2 linked regions of the Stegostoma tigrinum genome follow. The protein of the gene in region 2 interacts with the protein of the main gene of each other region in a pairwise test. Links are inferred from orthologs where the notes say so. Each region holds a gene or a part of one and is shown on either strand. Other genes may lie near its edges.

Region 1 (8,450 bases), on a different chromosome or scaffold from region 2:
TTTATGCCCCCCCCCCGACCCCGCTTAACATTTTGATGTTGTCCCTTGAATTTATTCTTTTATTTCTTATTCTGTGTCCACAACACATCTTTGTGTCTGCCAAAGTGTCTACATCCCAATGGATTGCTTTTTTTTTGTTCATTAAGTGCTCCCACTTTACAGAAGAAACAGCTTTCTGGTAGGGAAATCTAAAGCAAAAATCATAGAGTTTGGTCATTCAGTAATTAAATCAAAAGGCATTTCTTCACACAAAAATGTGATCGAAAGGTAGAATTCTTTACCTGTAAAGGTTGCGGGTTAATTGAAATGTTTTAGACAAGAGGTAATTTTTTTTCAAAACATGTGAAATGAGGTAATGCATTTTTCAGGAAGAAAATGGACAGATAATATAACATAGATAATAAAATGTGAGGCTGGATGAACACAGCAGGCCCAGCAGCATCTCAGGAGCACAAAAGCTGACGTTTTACCCTTCATCAGAGAGGGGGATGGGGTGAGGGTTCTGGAATAAATAGGGAGAGGGGGGAGGCGGACCGAACATGGAGAGAAAAGAAGATAGGTGGAGAGGGGAGTATAGGTGGGGAGGTAGGGAGGGTATAGGCTAGTCCAGGGAAGACGGACAGGTCAAGGAGGTGGGATGCGGTTAGTAGGTAGGAGATGGAGGTGCGGCTTGGGGTGGGAGGAAGGGATGGGTGACCCATCCCTTCCCCCCACCCCAAGCCGCACCTCCATCTCCTACCTACTAACCGCATCCCACCTCCTTGACCTGTCCGTCTTCCCTGAACTGGCCTATACCCTCCCTACCTATCTTCTTTTCTCTCCATCTTCGGTCTGCCTCCCCCTCTCTCCCTATTTATTCCAGAACCCTCACCCCATCCCCCTCTCTGACGAAGGGTCTAGGCCCGAAACGTCAGCTTTTGTGCTCCTGAGATGCTGCTGGGCCTGCTGTGTTCATCCAGCCTCACATTTTATTATCTTGGATTCTCCAGCATCTGCAGTTTCCATTATCACAGATAATAATAACATAACGGGTACAATTCTAAAGGAGGTGCAAGTGCATAAGGAACTGGTGTATGTGGCAAGTGGAGAGAATGGTTAATAAAGCATACAATATCCTGGGCTTTATTAATAGGGGCATGGAGACAAGAATAAGGAGGTGATGCCAAATTTACCCAAGTAACTTGTCAAACCTCAGTTTTGCATACAGTTCTGGGTACCAGACTATGGTAAGGATATGAACAAATTGGGGAGACTGCAGAAGAGATTTACAGGAATGATTCCAGAGATGGAAAATTTCAGTTATGATAGATTGGAGAGAATGGAACTTTTCTGCTTAGAGAAAGAAAGCTAAAAACACATCTGACAGAAGTTTTCAAAAATCACAAGTGGACTGGATTGTGTAAATAAGCTGTTCCTACTTATTCAAGGATCAAGAATAAGAGGGCTCAGATTTAAAGTGATTTCCGAAGGAAACAAAAGACAAGGTGAAATAAAATTGCTAATGCATGGTTTAGGTGTGGAATGCGCTGGAGGCAGGTTCAATTGAGGCTTTTAAGGCAGCACTGGATGATTATTTAAACAGAAACAATGTGCTTGAGTATGTGGAGAAGGCAGGAAATGGCACCAAATCATGATGCTCATGTGGAGAAACGGTGAATACACAACTGGCTTTTACAACCATTCTTGTAATTCTTTTCTTGCAAACAGGAAAGTGAAGTTGAGACCACAAACAGATCAACCATCATACTGAGGTAATGGGAACTGCAGATGCTGGAGAATTCCAAGATAATAAAATGTGAGGCTGGATGAACACAGCAGGCCAAGCAGCATCTCAGGAGCACAAAAGCTGACGTTTCGGGCCTAGACCCTTCATCAGAAAGGGGGATGGGGAGAGGGAACTGGAATAAATAGGGAGAGAGGGGGAGGCGGACCGAAGATGGAGAGTAAAGAAGATAGGTGGAGAGAGTATAGGTGGGGAGGTACGGAGGGGATAGGTCAGTCCACGGAAGACGGACAGGTCAAGGAGGTGGGATGAGGTTAGTAGGTAGCTGGGGATGCGGCTTGGGGTGGGAGGAAGGGATGGGTGAGAGGAAGAACTGGTTAGGGAGGCAGAGACAGGTTGGACTGGTTTTGGGATGCAGTGGGTTTGGGGGGGGGGGGGGGGGAAGAGCTGGGCTGGTTGTGTGGTGCAGTGGGGGGAGGGGACGAACTGGGCTGGTTTAGGGATGCAGTAGGGGAAGGGGAGATTTTGAAACTGGTGAAGTCCACATTGATACCATATGGCTGCAGGGTTCCCAGGCGGAATATGAGTTGCTGTTCCTGCAACCTTCGGGTGGCATCATTGTGGCAGTGCAGGAGGCCCATGATGGACATGTCATCTAGAGAATGGGAGGGGGAGTGGAAATGGTTTGCGACTGGGAGATGCAGTTGTTTGTTGCGAACTGAGCGGAGGTGTTCTGCAAAGCAGTCCCCAAGCCTCCGTTTGGTTTCCCCAATGTAGAGGAAGCCGCACCGGGTACAGTGGATGCAGTATACCACATTAAGCAGAGGTTCACCTGCACATCTGCCAATGTGGAATGTCATCTTGGGGCCTGGGATAGGGGTGAGGGAGGAGGTGTGGGGACAAGTGTAGCATTTCCTGCGGTTGCAGGGGAAGGTGCCGGCTGTGGTGGGGTTGGAGGGCAGTGTGGAGCGAACAAGGGAGTCACGGAGAGTGTGGTCTCTCCGGAAAGCAGACAGGGGAGGGGATGGAAAAATGTCTTGGGTGGTGGGGTCGGATTGTAAATGGTGGAAGTGTCGGAGGATGATGCGTTGTATCCGGAGGTTGGTAGGGTGGTGTGTGAGAACGAGGAGGATCCTCTTAGGGCGGTTGTGGCGGGGGCGGGGTGTGAGGGATGTGTTGTGGGAAATACGGGAGACGCGGTCAAGGGCGTTCTCGATCACTGTGGGGGGAAAGTTGCGGTCCTTAAAGAACTTGGACATCTGGGATGTGCAGGAGTGGAATGTCTTATCGTGGGAGCAGATGCGGCGGAGGCGGAGGAATTGGGAATAGGGGATGGAAGTACGCTTGAATAGCCTACTCTTGTTCCTAAATTCTCTAGCTACTTCACATCCTTCTTGAAGTGTAGTGTCAAGACACTGGGAAGGACTTACTGCTCTTCTTTGAAGTGTTGGTCATACAACTGTGTGCTTTCATTCAAGGGGTCTCAGTTTGAGGTCTTATCCAAAAGATGGCATCTCACTATTACTAACAGAGACACTTGACATCTTGGTTTTCACTGAGGTGGCATAACTGAGGATCCATCCTGATTACAGTTCAAATGATGATTAAAAATACTGAAGCTGACCTTAAATGATATGGTATATGAACATTTGAAAGTGTTATCAGATCAAGCAGCAAAGAACTGTAGCCTTAATCTCAGACAGAAAAATTTTGAAAAATGGCGACATGGTGTCAGTCTCATGTGTGCCGATTGTTGAAAAATTCTGGTATTATGAGGAGTACTGTTTTCTTCCCCACCTCAGTATTCAGTAAGTTGATATGGTCGCAGCAATATAAGACAGAAGCCAATGACAACTTGTACATTTGCTCTGGCTTAGCATGTAGCACACTTGCCTTTGAGTTATGGAATTCTGTGTTACAAGTCACACGCTCGAGATTCAAACATATAACAGGTTGATACTTCCCTATTGCAATGAAGAACATTAGGCCATTTTTCAGCCAAGGCATTAAACTTCAGCAGTGGCTCAGTTAAACTCTCTTGGCCTCTAAATTTCAGTCCCACTCCAAGGTTTAAGCCTTGAGCACAAAGATGGTGCTGTGGTGCAATATGGAGGAAGTGCTGCACTGTTGAAGGTGCTAGCTCCTGGATGAGAAGTTAATTTGGTTTCCGATATGCTTGTTCAATTGGATATGAAAGATCCCACACACTATTTTGAAAAAGAAATGTGACAAGATATGCCTAAGACAGATTTGTTCTGTCCTGTTCCTCAGGAAGAGAGATGTTGTAAACACGGTACCATGGGGTCTGCTCCATGGAAAGAAGATTAAATAGCTTTGGATTTTTTAAACAAAAAACTAAACAAAAAAAGCAGGAGGGTTTGAACAAGGCTTACACAGATACAGGGCTTTAGTTTATACTTTCAGTTGTTGAAGCTGGGGTTTGGACTAAGATGCTAGATACAGTTCTCACTCTGTAGTTAAAGATGTTCAGTCAGTGTTCCTTCTCCTGGACTGGATAAGATCATAAGTGATGGAAATCTGTTTTGCTGAATTGACCTGTGCCAAGGGTGTGTTTATGGGATGCTGTTACATTGGAACAGTAGGAGTAGCTGTTAAATAATATATAATTTTGCTATGTATCTAGATAGAGTTATGGTTATGCCATTTTTTTTGTTTTTGTTTCTGTTTCTAAACTGTGGTGCCAGAATCAAGTGTGTTTTGCTTAAAGCATAGTAGTTTGACCAATTGAATCAGATATGCAATGCAGCTCCTTATACTTACCTCTATAAAGAGAAAAAGGTAGAATCTAAGCTGTCTCCTCGATATATATTAAGGAGATTCGGTCTGGCTCATAGAAGAAGGAAATTTGCACTGATGAGCTAGAGCCAATATGTAACCCTTCCTCTATCAAGACCACAAATAACAGATTATCTGCTCATGTTCACATTGTTAACCAAATTCATATGTGGGCAGAATAGGGCTGCTGCGATGTCAGAACAACCAAAGCAGATGCTTGGGCAAGATGCTCTAGTTCAGATCCATTATTTGTACAACATGGCTCTAAATTTAAAACAAAAATTGCAGTACACGGCTTTAAAATAAAAAAGTGACCCTTCCACAGAACAGCATCCGTAGTGCTCTGTTTCTGAAATAAGGTGTGTTGGGACGTCAATTTTTACCTATTATCAAATTAAGTTTGTAGAGGAGAAATTACATTTTTGTTGTTTGGAAGGTGCCCTGTCTCATGCGGTATGATCACAGCTTCCAGCGCTGATCTGCACTGAGCAAAGGGCCTCGCGGTTACCATGGGAATCGGCCGGAACCGGAAGTCTAGTCGAGAGCACAGGAAGGGGTCGTGCGTGGGTGTCATGGCGACGGCCTGAAGGAGGTGGTTGTATTGAGCGAGGTCGGCATCATGAAGACGGTGTTGATGGTCGCCGAGAAACCTTCTCTGGCTCAATCCATCGCCAAGATCCTGTCGCGGGGTAAGTGAGCCTCGATCAGCAGTAATCTGTACGAATGTGTGGGCTTGTTCCTACGAGCTCAGTTTTTCCACGGCAGATCCATTGAGGCACAGCTTTGGCATTGGTCCTACGGTTTCCCTTCGTTTCGAAACTAGCTGGATGTACCATGAGGCCACGTTAAAGCGCTTTGTAAAATTTGCCTTCTGTACTAGTACAGCCAGATTATTGGAAATTACAACCAGGGAACAACATTTGAGATGAGTGACTGGATCATCTATCTTTAATGAATGATTAAGTTTTGGTTCCGAGACTTGAGCAAATTCTTCTAACCTTTGCTAAATCGGGTTGTGTGCTATTTCATGAGGGATGACCTTATAGAGGTATATAAAATCTTGTGGATAAAGGTGAACGGCGGTTGCCTTTTCTCTAGGGTGCGGGATTTCAAGACTAGAAGGCACTTTAAGGTTAGAAGAGAAAGATTTAAAAAGAAAACAAGAGGCAATATTTTTGCAGAGTGTCTTATATATAGAATAAACTTCCAGAGAAAGTGGTGGATGCGAGTACAGTTACAACATTTAAATAAATGAAAGAAACGTACGTAGGGATACAGGCCTAGTGTAGGCAAGCGGGACTAGTTTAGATGAGGATTTATGGTCAGCATGGATTGGTTGGTTTGAAAGGTCTCCTATGCTGAATGCCCAATTGAGCAAGTAGATCAGCCTCAAGTTAACATTTCATCTGGCCAATGGCATCTCCCAATAATTCAGCACTCCCTCAGTTATGATAATGTGACAACCTAGATTATGTGCAGAATCAGGGTCTGAGTCCCTATTGTTCCAACTTGCAAGAAAAACTTACCGCTAAACTGAGTTGTCACTCACTATTATGATGCTCAGAATGCATACTCTTTCAGTAACTTTCTTGTTGAATATCACAATTACAGGTAGGGTCTAGATTAAAAATCAGTAAATGAATTAGCCAGACCTTTGTGCTGATCAGGAAGCATGGGCAGGTGTCAGTTGGAGATAGCAAGAACTGCAGATGCTGGAGCCAGAGTCAACATGGTGTGAAGCTGAAGAAATACAGCAGGTCAGGCAGCTTCAGAGGAATAGGAAAGGGCCCTTCTTCAGAATTGGGGAGGGGAAAGGGAGCCGGGAAATAAATAGAACAAGGAGGGGTGTGGCTGATTGAAGGTAGGTGGCATGGTGATAGGTGGATGCATGTAGGGGATGGTGGAGATTGGTCAGTGGGAAGGGTGGGGCAGATAGGTGGGAGAGAAGAAGGACAGGTTGTGTCAGGTCAAGGAGGTGAGAGGGAGGATGTGTGGGCCTGAGGCAGGGGTGGTGGCTGCAGATGTGGGGAAATAGGGATTGGCCAGTGGGAAGGGTGGGGCAGAAGATTGACAGGTTATGTCAGGTCATCGAGGCGTGTATGAGAAGGAGGTTTGGACATGGGATGGGGAGATTTTAAAACTGGTGAATTCAATGTTTAGGCCATTGGGCTGTAGGCTTCTGAGGTGTATTATGAGTTGTTGCTCCTCCAATTTGTGTGTGGCCTCATTATGACACTGGAGGAAGCCCAGGATGGACATGTCATCCCAGGCATATGATGGGGAGTTGAAATGCTTAGCGACTGGAAGGTGTTGTCGATTATCACGTACGGAGCGCAGGTGGCCCACGAAATGGTCAAGTCTGCGCTTGGTCTCACTGACGTAGAGGAGACCACGTTGGGAGCACTGGATATTGTAGGCCAGGTTGTAGGATGTACAGGTGAAACCCTAGCAGATATGGGAAATTTGCTTTGGGCCTGGAAGTGAGGGGAGAAGTGTAGGGGCAGGTGTAGCACTTCCTGCAGTTGCAGGGAAAGGTGCCGGGTGTGGTGGGGTTAGTGGGGAGCGTGGAGCAGACAAGGGATTTGCAGAATGAGTTGTCTGTATGAAAGACGGAGAGGGAAATATCTCTTTGGTTGTGGGGTCAAATTGCAGATGGGGTTGTGGTGGAGGTTGATGTGTTGGATACAAAGGTTAGTGGGGTGATATGTGAGGACCAGGAGTCTGTGTCTTTATTTTTGTTGGGGGGTGGTGGTTAGAGGCCAATACAAGCTATGTGGTTGAGGGCATTTTGATCATTAGATTGGGCAAATTGCAGTCCTTAAAATAGGAGGACATCTGGGATGTATGGGAGTGGAACGCTCCATCTTGGGAGCAGATGTGGCGAAGGTGGAGGAATTGGGAGTATGGGATTGCATTCTTGTAGGAAGGTGAGTGAGTGGAGGTGTAGTCCAGTAGCCATAGGAGTCGGTGGGTTTGAAATAAATGTCGGTGTTGAGGTGGTTATCAGAGATGGAGATGGAGAAGTCCAGGAAGGGGAGGGAAGTATCGGACATGGTCCAGGTGAATTTGAGGCTGGGATGAAAGGTATTAGTAAAGTTGATGAACTGTCCTAGCTCCTCGTGGGAGCATGTTAGCACTGATACAGTCATCAGTGTAACAGAGGAAGAGTGTGGGATGGTGCCTGTGTAATAGCGGAAAAGGGACTGTTCCACGTTTCCTACGAAGAGACAGATGTAGCTCGGACCCATATGGGTGCCCATAGCCACCCCCTTAGTTTCTAGGAAGTGGGAGGAATTAAAGGAGTTGTTGTTCAGGGTAAGGAAAAGTTCTGTTAAGTGGATGAGGGTGTTGGTAGTGGGAGACTGGCTCGGTCTGTGAGAGAAGAAGAAGTGAAGGGCATTTCGGCCATCTGCATGGCGCCTAAAAGTGTCAGAAATTGGATGTCCATAGTGAAGATGACATTTTGGGGTCCAGGGAATTGGAAGTCTCAGGTGAGGTGGAGGGCATAGGTGGTATCATGAATGTAGGTGGGGAGTTCCTGGACATGGGTTTGGTGGGGGGGACACCATGGATGTCCAATCCCTGTACTCTTGAATAAAGGCAGATGCTGAGCCATACAGGGGAAGTTATCAAAGATAGTTTTTAGCAGGAAGAAAGTTGAGGTGTAAAGTCCAGGCTAATGTACTAGGGACGTGAGTTTGAATCCCGTCATGGCAGTTAATTAAATTTAAATTTGATAAAAAATATCTGGAATTAAAACTAGCCTATTGTCATCCTCGTAACCACTGTTGATTATTGCAAAACCCATATGACTCACTATTGAATGTCATGGAAATAAATCTTCTGTCTGGCCTACGTGCGACTCCAGACCCGTGGCAATGTGGTGACCGCTGGGCAATAAAGGATGAGCAATAAATGCCAGTCTAGGCAA
Region 2 (7,889 bases):
AACCGGAGTCTCTGGGTTAACAGTCCGGCGAGTGCCTCCTCTGGAGCTGACTGGCCTAAGAACTTTTGAACTTTCTGCCTCCATCTCTTGTTGCAAAATGTTTGCAATCTTCCAATCTACTGGAACTATCCTAAATCAACTGGGTTTTGGAAGATTAAAACAGACACTAACTTTCTCATTAAACCGCTTCCTTTAGGAATATAGGATGATGTTCAACAGGACTGGTCAGATGCAACTCCAACAACTTGCTAAGTAGTACTGCCCTGCTTGCAATTTTTTTTGGGAGTTCCTCCCTCCACTCCATTTCTGGATTTACAACTATTCCTGGGATGTCACTACTATCTTCTATAGCTAACACCAATGTAAACTACCCATTCAATTCATCCATCTCATTAATGCTCCAAACTCACTTTCCAGAGATCAATTCTTAGTCTGTTAACTCTTACTGTCTTTTATATTCCCACCTGGCTTCACTTATACTCCCTCTTTAATCTTTTAGCCGTTCTTTGCTGTAATGTACAGTGTGTCTAATCTTCTGCCTTGCCACCCAGCTTTTTCCTTTCGGGTTGATACTATTATTAACTGCTTTTAAGTTAGACATGGGCGACCAGTCCTCCATTTGGAATTTCTTTTTTGGAACTAATCTCGGTATTTTGAAATATATCTAATTTCTGTCACCGCATCCATTAACATATCCTTTATCTACCTACAGCACATGCAATACATGGTTCAAGAATGTAGCTCATCACCACTATCAAAGAATGGGCAAAAAAAAAGAAATTGATATCCACATCCCATAAGTGAGTTTAAAAAAAACAAGCTTGTCAGTTAATATCTACTTTTGTGTCTTAATCAACTTTGAAATAGTATTGGACACAGCCACCTCTTCAAAATAGGATATAAAATTCTGATTTTTACTGCTCCCGAGCGACAAGCGCACTCCAAATTAATCCCATCACATTGAACAACACTAGGTCTAGTATTGCCTGTCCTGAGGTTGGGTCCAGAACATGTCATTCTAAATAAAAAGAAAGAATTCCCTGCCAGAATGACTGCCAGACTACTCGGACCTCTTGGCATCAGGGTAGCCCACAAACCCACCAACACACTAAAACAGCAGCTAATGAACTTAAAAGACCCTGTACAGACAACAAAACGAACATCATCTACAAAATACCTTGCGAGAACTGTGACAAACACTACATTGGACAAACAGGCAGAAAGCTAACCATCAGGATACATGAACATCAACTAGCCACAAAAAGACATGACCCACTATCACTAGTATCCTTACATACAGATGAGGAAGGACACCACTTTGATTGGGACAACACATCCATCCTAGAACAAGCCAAACAGAGACACGCACGAGAATTCCTAGAAGCATGGCATTCCAACCAGAACTCCATCAACAAACGCATTGATTTGGAGCCCATCTACCATCCTCTGAGAAAAAGAACAGGAAATGACATCACCAACCCAAGGAAACCTAAACAGATAAATAGAAAGCAGGACATAACACCAGCGCTTCGTCGGAGGCTCACTGATGATGTTACCTAGAATGGTGACGAAACGTCTGAAAACGAACCTTCCAGCTCAGCGAGTGAACTCACACCCAGAACCTTAACGTGAGCTCCAAATCTTCTCAAAACTCGCTAAAGAATTCCCTGATTTACAAACAGTCGTATTTACAAATACAATCCTATGTGTTGTTACAATTTTGAAAACCCAACATATAAATATTCAAGCTTCAAAATCTTCCTTCCTGTTACCTCGTCCCAAAATCAGTCAAGCTTGTCCACACCTCCCTAACCCATCCTTCCTCCCACCTGAAGCCCCACCCCATCTCCTACCTACTAACTTCATCCCGCCCCTTTGACCTGTCCATCCTCCCTGGATCGACCTATCCCCTCCCTAACTCCCCACCTACATTCACCTTCACTGGCTCTAAGCCCACCTCTTTGACTTGTCCGTCTCCTCTCACCCTATCTTCTCCTTTATCCATCTCCGCCTCCCCCCTCTCCCTATTTATTTCAGAATCCCCTTCCCCCATTTCTGAAGAAGGATCTTGACCCAAAACAGCAAAAAAAAACTTTCCTGCTCGGTCTGCTGTGTTCATCCAGCTTCACACCTTATTATTTTTAATTAGGTATAGATGGGGAAAAAAATTCAAAGCAAAACGTTTAACTATGACTTCACCAAACAGGACAGAATTTGCTCATTTGTTGTAAGACCTTGTTTTTTTAAAAAAACCAATTAGGGAGGGATCTGACAGAGTATAAAGGTTTGAACAAATAGCGGAGTTAGACAACAGTGACAAGAAACTGAATTTTTCACAACTCAAAAATGCAGAACATAATTCTAAATGTAAGTATTTTTTCATCCAGTAATTTTCTGCACCACCCAAATGTATTTCAAAACTGGGCTACTGGCGTGCCAAGCATATAATTATGTAAACTGCACCAGCTACAATGGCTTGCTGTTTTTTTTTGCAGTTTCTAAATTTATTCGTGAAGTCGCACTGATTACAAAACCCCAGAATATTTAATTATAAGCTCGTTACCTCACTGGAGTTAGGTATAGCAACTGACAGCTAGACCTGTACTTAAAATACAGTACGACCAGCGAGAAGGTCCCTTTAAAAAAAAAGTTACGTTTCAATACGAATTCAATGTTTTTTTCAATCAAACTGGTTTATGGTAGTGTTCGTAGGCTCGAAGCTCTAATTCTTTTTTTATTTCCTTCTGCACTTTTCTCTCACTTGGTTGATTCTCAACTGCGTTTCTAATTTTTCTATAAATTCGCCGCATACGATCCGGAGTTCCAGGGTTACACCACTCCCGGGATTCTGCTGAATTCCCTATTGGGCATATTCGCTGTGGTCACGACCCGTCTTTTCGGTCTCAATCTACACAAACGTATCATCTAGGTATGAAAGCACTTGTTGCAATGAGAACCACACCTCCACCTCAAGCCCAGAAATTCGGAACACGGAAATACACAATAATTAAACGGCAAAAAAGTTCGTTACCTGTTTAAACAAGGCAATAATTCTCCAGTGAAGGGGCGGGGCGGGAAAGGAGGAAAGAAAAATGTTTCAATTTCACAGCCAGTTTTAACAATTTGCACATTGACTGACGATCAATACAGCGAGGAGAGCCAAAATATATACTGTTTTCTTAAACAAACAATAACCTTTTGCAGTGCTGGTGCCCCTGGATGAATGAGCGAGCAGCGTAACTTGCACAAGAAGTAACATCGCAGTGCCGCAGACCGGGCCCGGTACTGCGCAAGCGTCACGAGTTGCAGCCGGGCCCGGGTAAGCACATGCGCACTGGAACCCAGTGACGGTTGCGTGCGCGTCTCACTCGGAAACCATGGTAACCGGGCCTAGCCCAGGACCGTACTCAAATAACCGCCAACGGCGGCGACTGTTGTGGTTCGCCTCCCCGCCCCTTTCAACAACTGCCCTTACATCAGTCCGACATCTCTGGCCTCAGGCAGTTGGCTCCTCCTCATCGACTCCAGCGCCGGTGACTCTATCACCACATTGCGACTGCATTTGAAGTCATGCGAACGTTACAGTCTTTCCCTCCCTCTCTCACGGTTTTATTTGAAGCAGGTCGACGCCGGCGCCTTCATCCAAAGCGGAAGCCAATTGGTCAAGACCGGCAGTCGGCACGTCGAGGAGTAAACCCAACGATGATTGGCTTAGCTGGTGGTAGTCATCTGTTGGTGAGTTTTGAGAAGATTTGTAGCTCAGGTTGAGGTTCTACAGAGGTACTTAGAAAATCTTTTCTGAATGGTCTCATCCTAATTCTCAGACTATGTCCCCCATGTTCAACAATGCCCAACCAGGATCCCACCTTCCACCTCTGGAAAAACTAATGAACTCAACTTCTTCCCTGAAATTAAGGTAGTGAGTTTGCTCGCTGAGCTGGAAGGTTAGTTTTCAGACGTTTCGTCATCATTCTAGGTAACATCATCAGTGAGCCTCCGATGAAGCGCTGGTAGCCACCAGGATACATGAACATCAACTAGCCACAAAACGACATGGCCCACTATCACTCGTATCCTTACATACAGATAAGGAAGGACACCACTTTGATTGGGACAACACATCCATCCTAGGACAAGCCAAACAGAGACACGCACGAGAATTCCTAGAAGCATAGCATTCCAACCGGAACTCCATCAACAAACACATTGATTTGGAGCAAATCTACCATCCCCTGAGAAAAAGAATGGGAAATGACATCACCAACACAGGAAATGACATCACCAACCCAAGGAAACCTAACCAGATAAATAGAAAGTGGGACATAACACCAGCGCTTCGTCGGAGGCTCACTGATGATGTTACCTAGAATGGTGACGAAACGTCTGAAAACTAACCTTCCAGCTCAGCGAGCAAACTCACATCCAGTAGTCATCTGTCCCCGCGACTTTGCCGCTGGTCATGTGGTCTAGAGCTTGTGCCAGTTTTTGCCTAGCCTCAGGGCAGCATAGCGAGAATGCCAAACCGAAGGGAACAGCAATTTCCGTTGCATGTTTCACTCCGTTAATAACTGAGATTAAATGTTACGCTCACTACCTTAATTTCAGGGAAGAAGTTGGGTTCATTAGTTTTTCCAGAGGTGGAAGGTGGGATCCTGGTTGGGCATTGTTGAACATGGGGTGCATAGTCTGAGAATTAGGATGAGACCATTCAGAAAAGATTTTCTAAGTACCTCTGTAATAGATGTTAGGAACTATTTGTAAGATTTTACATTTGTTGCTAAGAAAGTTTAGGTTCCCTTGATTAATTCCAGCGATGAACACAAATGCAGAAGTTGCTGGGAAAGCTCAGCAGGTCTGGCAGCATCTGTGAAGAAAATAATCAGAGTTAATGTCCCTTTCTCACGACTGAATCCTAACTTATTCTTCCTTCACAGATACTGTCAGACCTGGTGAGCTTTTCCCAGCAACGTCTGTTTTTGTTCCTGATTTACAGCATCCACAGTTTGTTTGGTTTTTATCCAGCGATTAAAAAGCTTGCTTTAAGAGGAGAATTTGAGAGGTTTCAGCCTTTATGGCTTAGAGCTGAGGGGAATGAGAGAAGATCCATTTTTAGGACATAAGATGCTTAAGGAAATTGACAAAGTATACGTAGACAGGATGTTTCCCCTTGTGGGACAATAAAGAACAAAGGGTTTCAGGGATAGTAGGAACTGCAGATGTTGGAGAATCTGAGATAATAAGGCGTAGAGCTGGACGAACACAGGTCAAACCGCATCAGAGGAGCAGGAAAGCTGACATTTCGGGCCTAGACCCTTCTTCAGAAAATGAAGAAGTGCCTAGGCCTGAAATGTCAGCTTTCCTGCTCCTCTGATGTTGCTTGGCCTGCTGTGTTCATCCAGCTCTACACCTTGTTATCGTAGAACAAAGGGTCACGGTTTTAGGATAAGGTAAGGTATATTTAAACAGAGATGAGAAGAAATTACTTCTCTCAAAGAGTCATGAATCTGTGGAATTCAGTACAGCAGGTTGCTGAGAAACTGAGCAAATAAGACCATAAGACATAGGTGTGGAATTAGGCCATTTGGCCCCTCAAGTCTGCTGTGCCATTCAATCATGGCTGATAAGTTCCTCAACCCCATTCTCCAGCTTTCTTCCAACAACCCTTGATCCCTTTGATAATCAATAACCTATCTATCCCAGTCTTAAATGTACTCAATGACCTGGCGTCCACGGCCTTTTGTGGCAGGGAATTCCATAAATTCACCACTCCTTGGCTGAAGAAGTTTCTCCTTATCTCCATTCTAAAAGGCCTTCTCTTTACTCTAAGGCTGTGCCCTCGGGTCCTACCAATGGAAACATCTTCCCAACATCCAGTTTGTCCAGGTCATTCAGTATTTTGAAAGTTTCAATTAGACTCCCCCTCATCCTTCTAAACTCCAGTGAGTATAGCCCCAGAGTCCTCAAATGTTCCTCATATGTTAAGCTTTCCATTCCTGGGACCATTCTCAGTAACCTCCTCTGAACCCTGTCCACGGCCAGTACATCCTTCCTGAGACATGAGGCCCAAAACTGCATGCAATACTCCAAATGTGGTCTGCCCAGAGCCTTATAAAGCTTTGGTAGTGCATCCCTGCTTTTATATTCAAGTCCTCTCAAAATAAATGCCAACATTGCATTTGCGTTCCTGCTACTGACTCAACCTGCAAGTTTACCTTGCGAGAACACCGGACTAGAACTCCCAAGTCTTTTTGCACTTCAGACTTCTGAATTTTCTCCCCATTTAGGAAATAGTACATGCTTTTGTTCTTCTTACCAAAGTGCATGATCTCAGACTTTCCCACATTGTACTCCATCTGGCAGTTCTTTTCCCACTCTTGACCTGTCCAAGTCTTCCTGCAGCCTCGCCACCTCCTCAGTACTACCTGTCCCTTCACCTATCTTTGTATTGTGTGCAAACGTAGCCAGAATGCCCGCAGTTCCTTCATCTAGATCATTAATGTACAAAGTGAAGAGTTATGGTCCCAACACCAAGCCTTGTGGAACTCCACTCATCACCATTGCCATCCTGAGAAAGACCCCTTTATCCCTACTCTCTGCTTTCTGCCAGACTGCCAATCTTCTATCCATGTTAGCATGCTGCCTCTAACACTGTGGGCCCTTATCTGACTCAGCAGTCTCCTGTGTAGCACCTTATCAAAAGGCATTCTTGAAGCCCAGGTAGATAACATCCATTGGCTCTCCTTGCTCTACCCTGCTCGTTACTTCCTTAAGGAATTCTAGCAGATTTGTCAGGCATGACCTCCCCATGATGAAATCATTCTGACTATGTCCTACTTTACCGTACACTTACAAATATTCAGAAATCTCATCCTTCACAACGGACTCCAAAATCTTGCCCGCGACCAAGGTTAGGCTAATTGGCCTGGATTTTCCATCTTTTGCCTTACTCCCTTCTTAAACAGGGATGTCACGTTAGTGATTTTCCAGTTCTCTAAAACCCTCCCTGACTCTAGTGATTCCTGAAAATTCACCACTAACGCTTCCACTATCTCCTTGAGAACTCTGGGGTACAGCCCATCTGGTCCAGGGAACTTGTCCATCTTCAGGCCAATCAGTTTTAGTAGCATCTTTTCCATGGTGATGGCCACCACACCCAGCTCTGCCCCGACTCTCTTGAATTTTTGAGATATTACTTGTGACTTCCACCATGGAGACTGACACAAAGTAATTATTCAGTTCCTGAGACAGTTCCTTGAGGAAGCAGGTAGATTCTTAATTAGTTCCAGGTTATAGGGAGCGGTGGTGTTGGGTCCAAGCTATGATCAGCCATGATTGTTTTAAAGGACAGAGCAGGCTCAAGAAGTTGAGTTGCCCACTCCTGCTTCTAGTTCTTAGGACTAGTAGAGTCCAATTCTTAACAAATCTTCACTCTGTCCTCATGCAGTTGTCCTTGCATCTGGACCTAGATTGCCTACACTGATTCCGAACCCTGAGTGATACTTCCTGAAGTGAGAAGAATTTTGCTACATGGGAAGGGACTCGTCAGCCCGTGCAACATCTGTACTGCTTGTTAACAAAACCTTTCACTGTACTCTGGTACATGTGACAATAAATCAATCAATCAAGTACCTATCTACTCTAGTTCCATTTTATAGCACTTGATCCATAACCTTGAATGCGATGGCACTTCAAATAATCATTTAAATACTTTTAAAATATTTTTTAGGCAGAGAGTTCCAATGAGTTATGTCTGCCTTAATTGTGCAATGTGTCTGTCAATTATTCTGCATTCCTATGTAAATGTAACAAATTAGTAACAGAAGTAATCCACATATGAAGGATACGGACCCCCTTCAACCTTAATTATCCGTTTGTCTGCAAAATTAAAT

The links.
Region 1: the proteins of ssx2ipa (region 2) and top3b interact in binary tests that used the Homo sapiens proteins (3 or more experiments, as listed by UniProt). The two-hybrid records come from large-scale screens. The link is inferred for Stegostoma tigrinum from reciprocal best matches to the Homo sapiens genes SSX2IP and TOP3B.

Annotation. Positions count from the first base shown.
Region 1 is NC_081379.1:44,586,373-44,594,822, reverse strand, and holds the start of top3b (DNA topoisomerase 3-beta-1), read left to right. Parts: upstream 1-5,070; 5' UTR 5,071-5,138; coding exon 5,139-5,208; intron 5,209-8,450. UniProt on the Homo sapiens protein: Releases the supercoiling and torsional tension of DNA introduced during the DNA replication and transcription by transiently cleaving and rejoining one strand of the DNA duplex.
Region 2 is NC_081361.1:98,998,335-99,006,223, forward strand, and holds the start of ssx2ipa (synovial sarcoma, X breakpoint 2 interacting protein a), read right to left. Parts: upstream 3,363-7,889; 5' UTR 3,260-3,362; coding exon 3,196-3,259; exon of another isoform or gene 3,032-3,195; intron 1-3,031. UniProt on the Homo sapiens protein: Belongs to an adhesion system, which plays a role in the organization of homotypic, interneuronal and heterotypic cell-cell adherens junctions (AJs).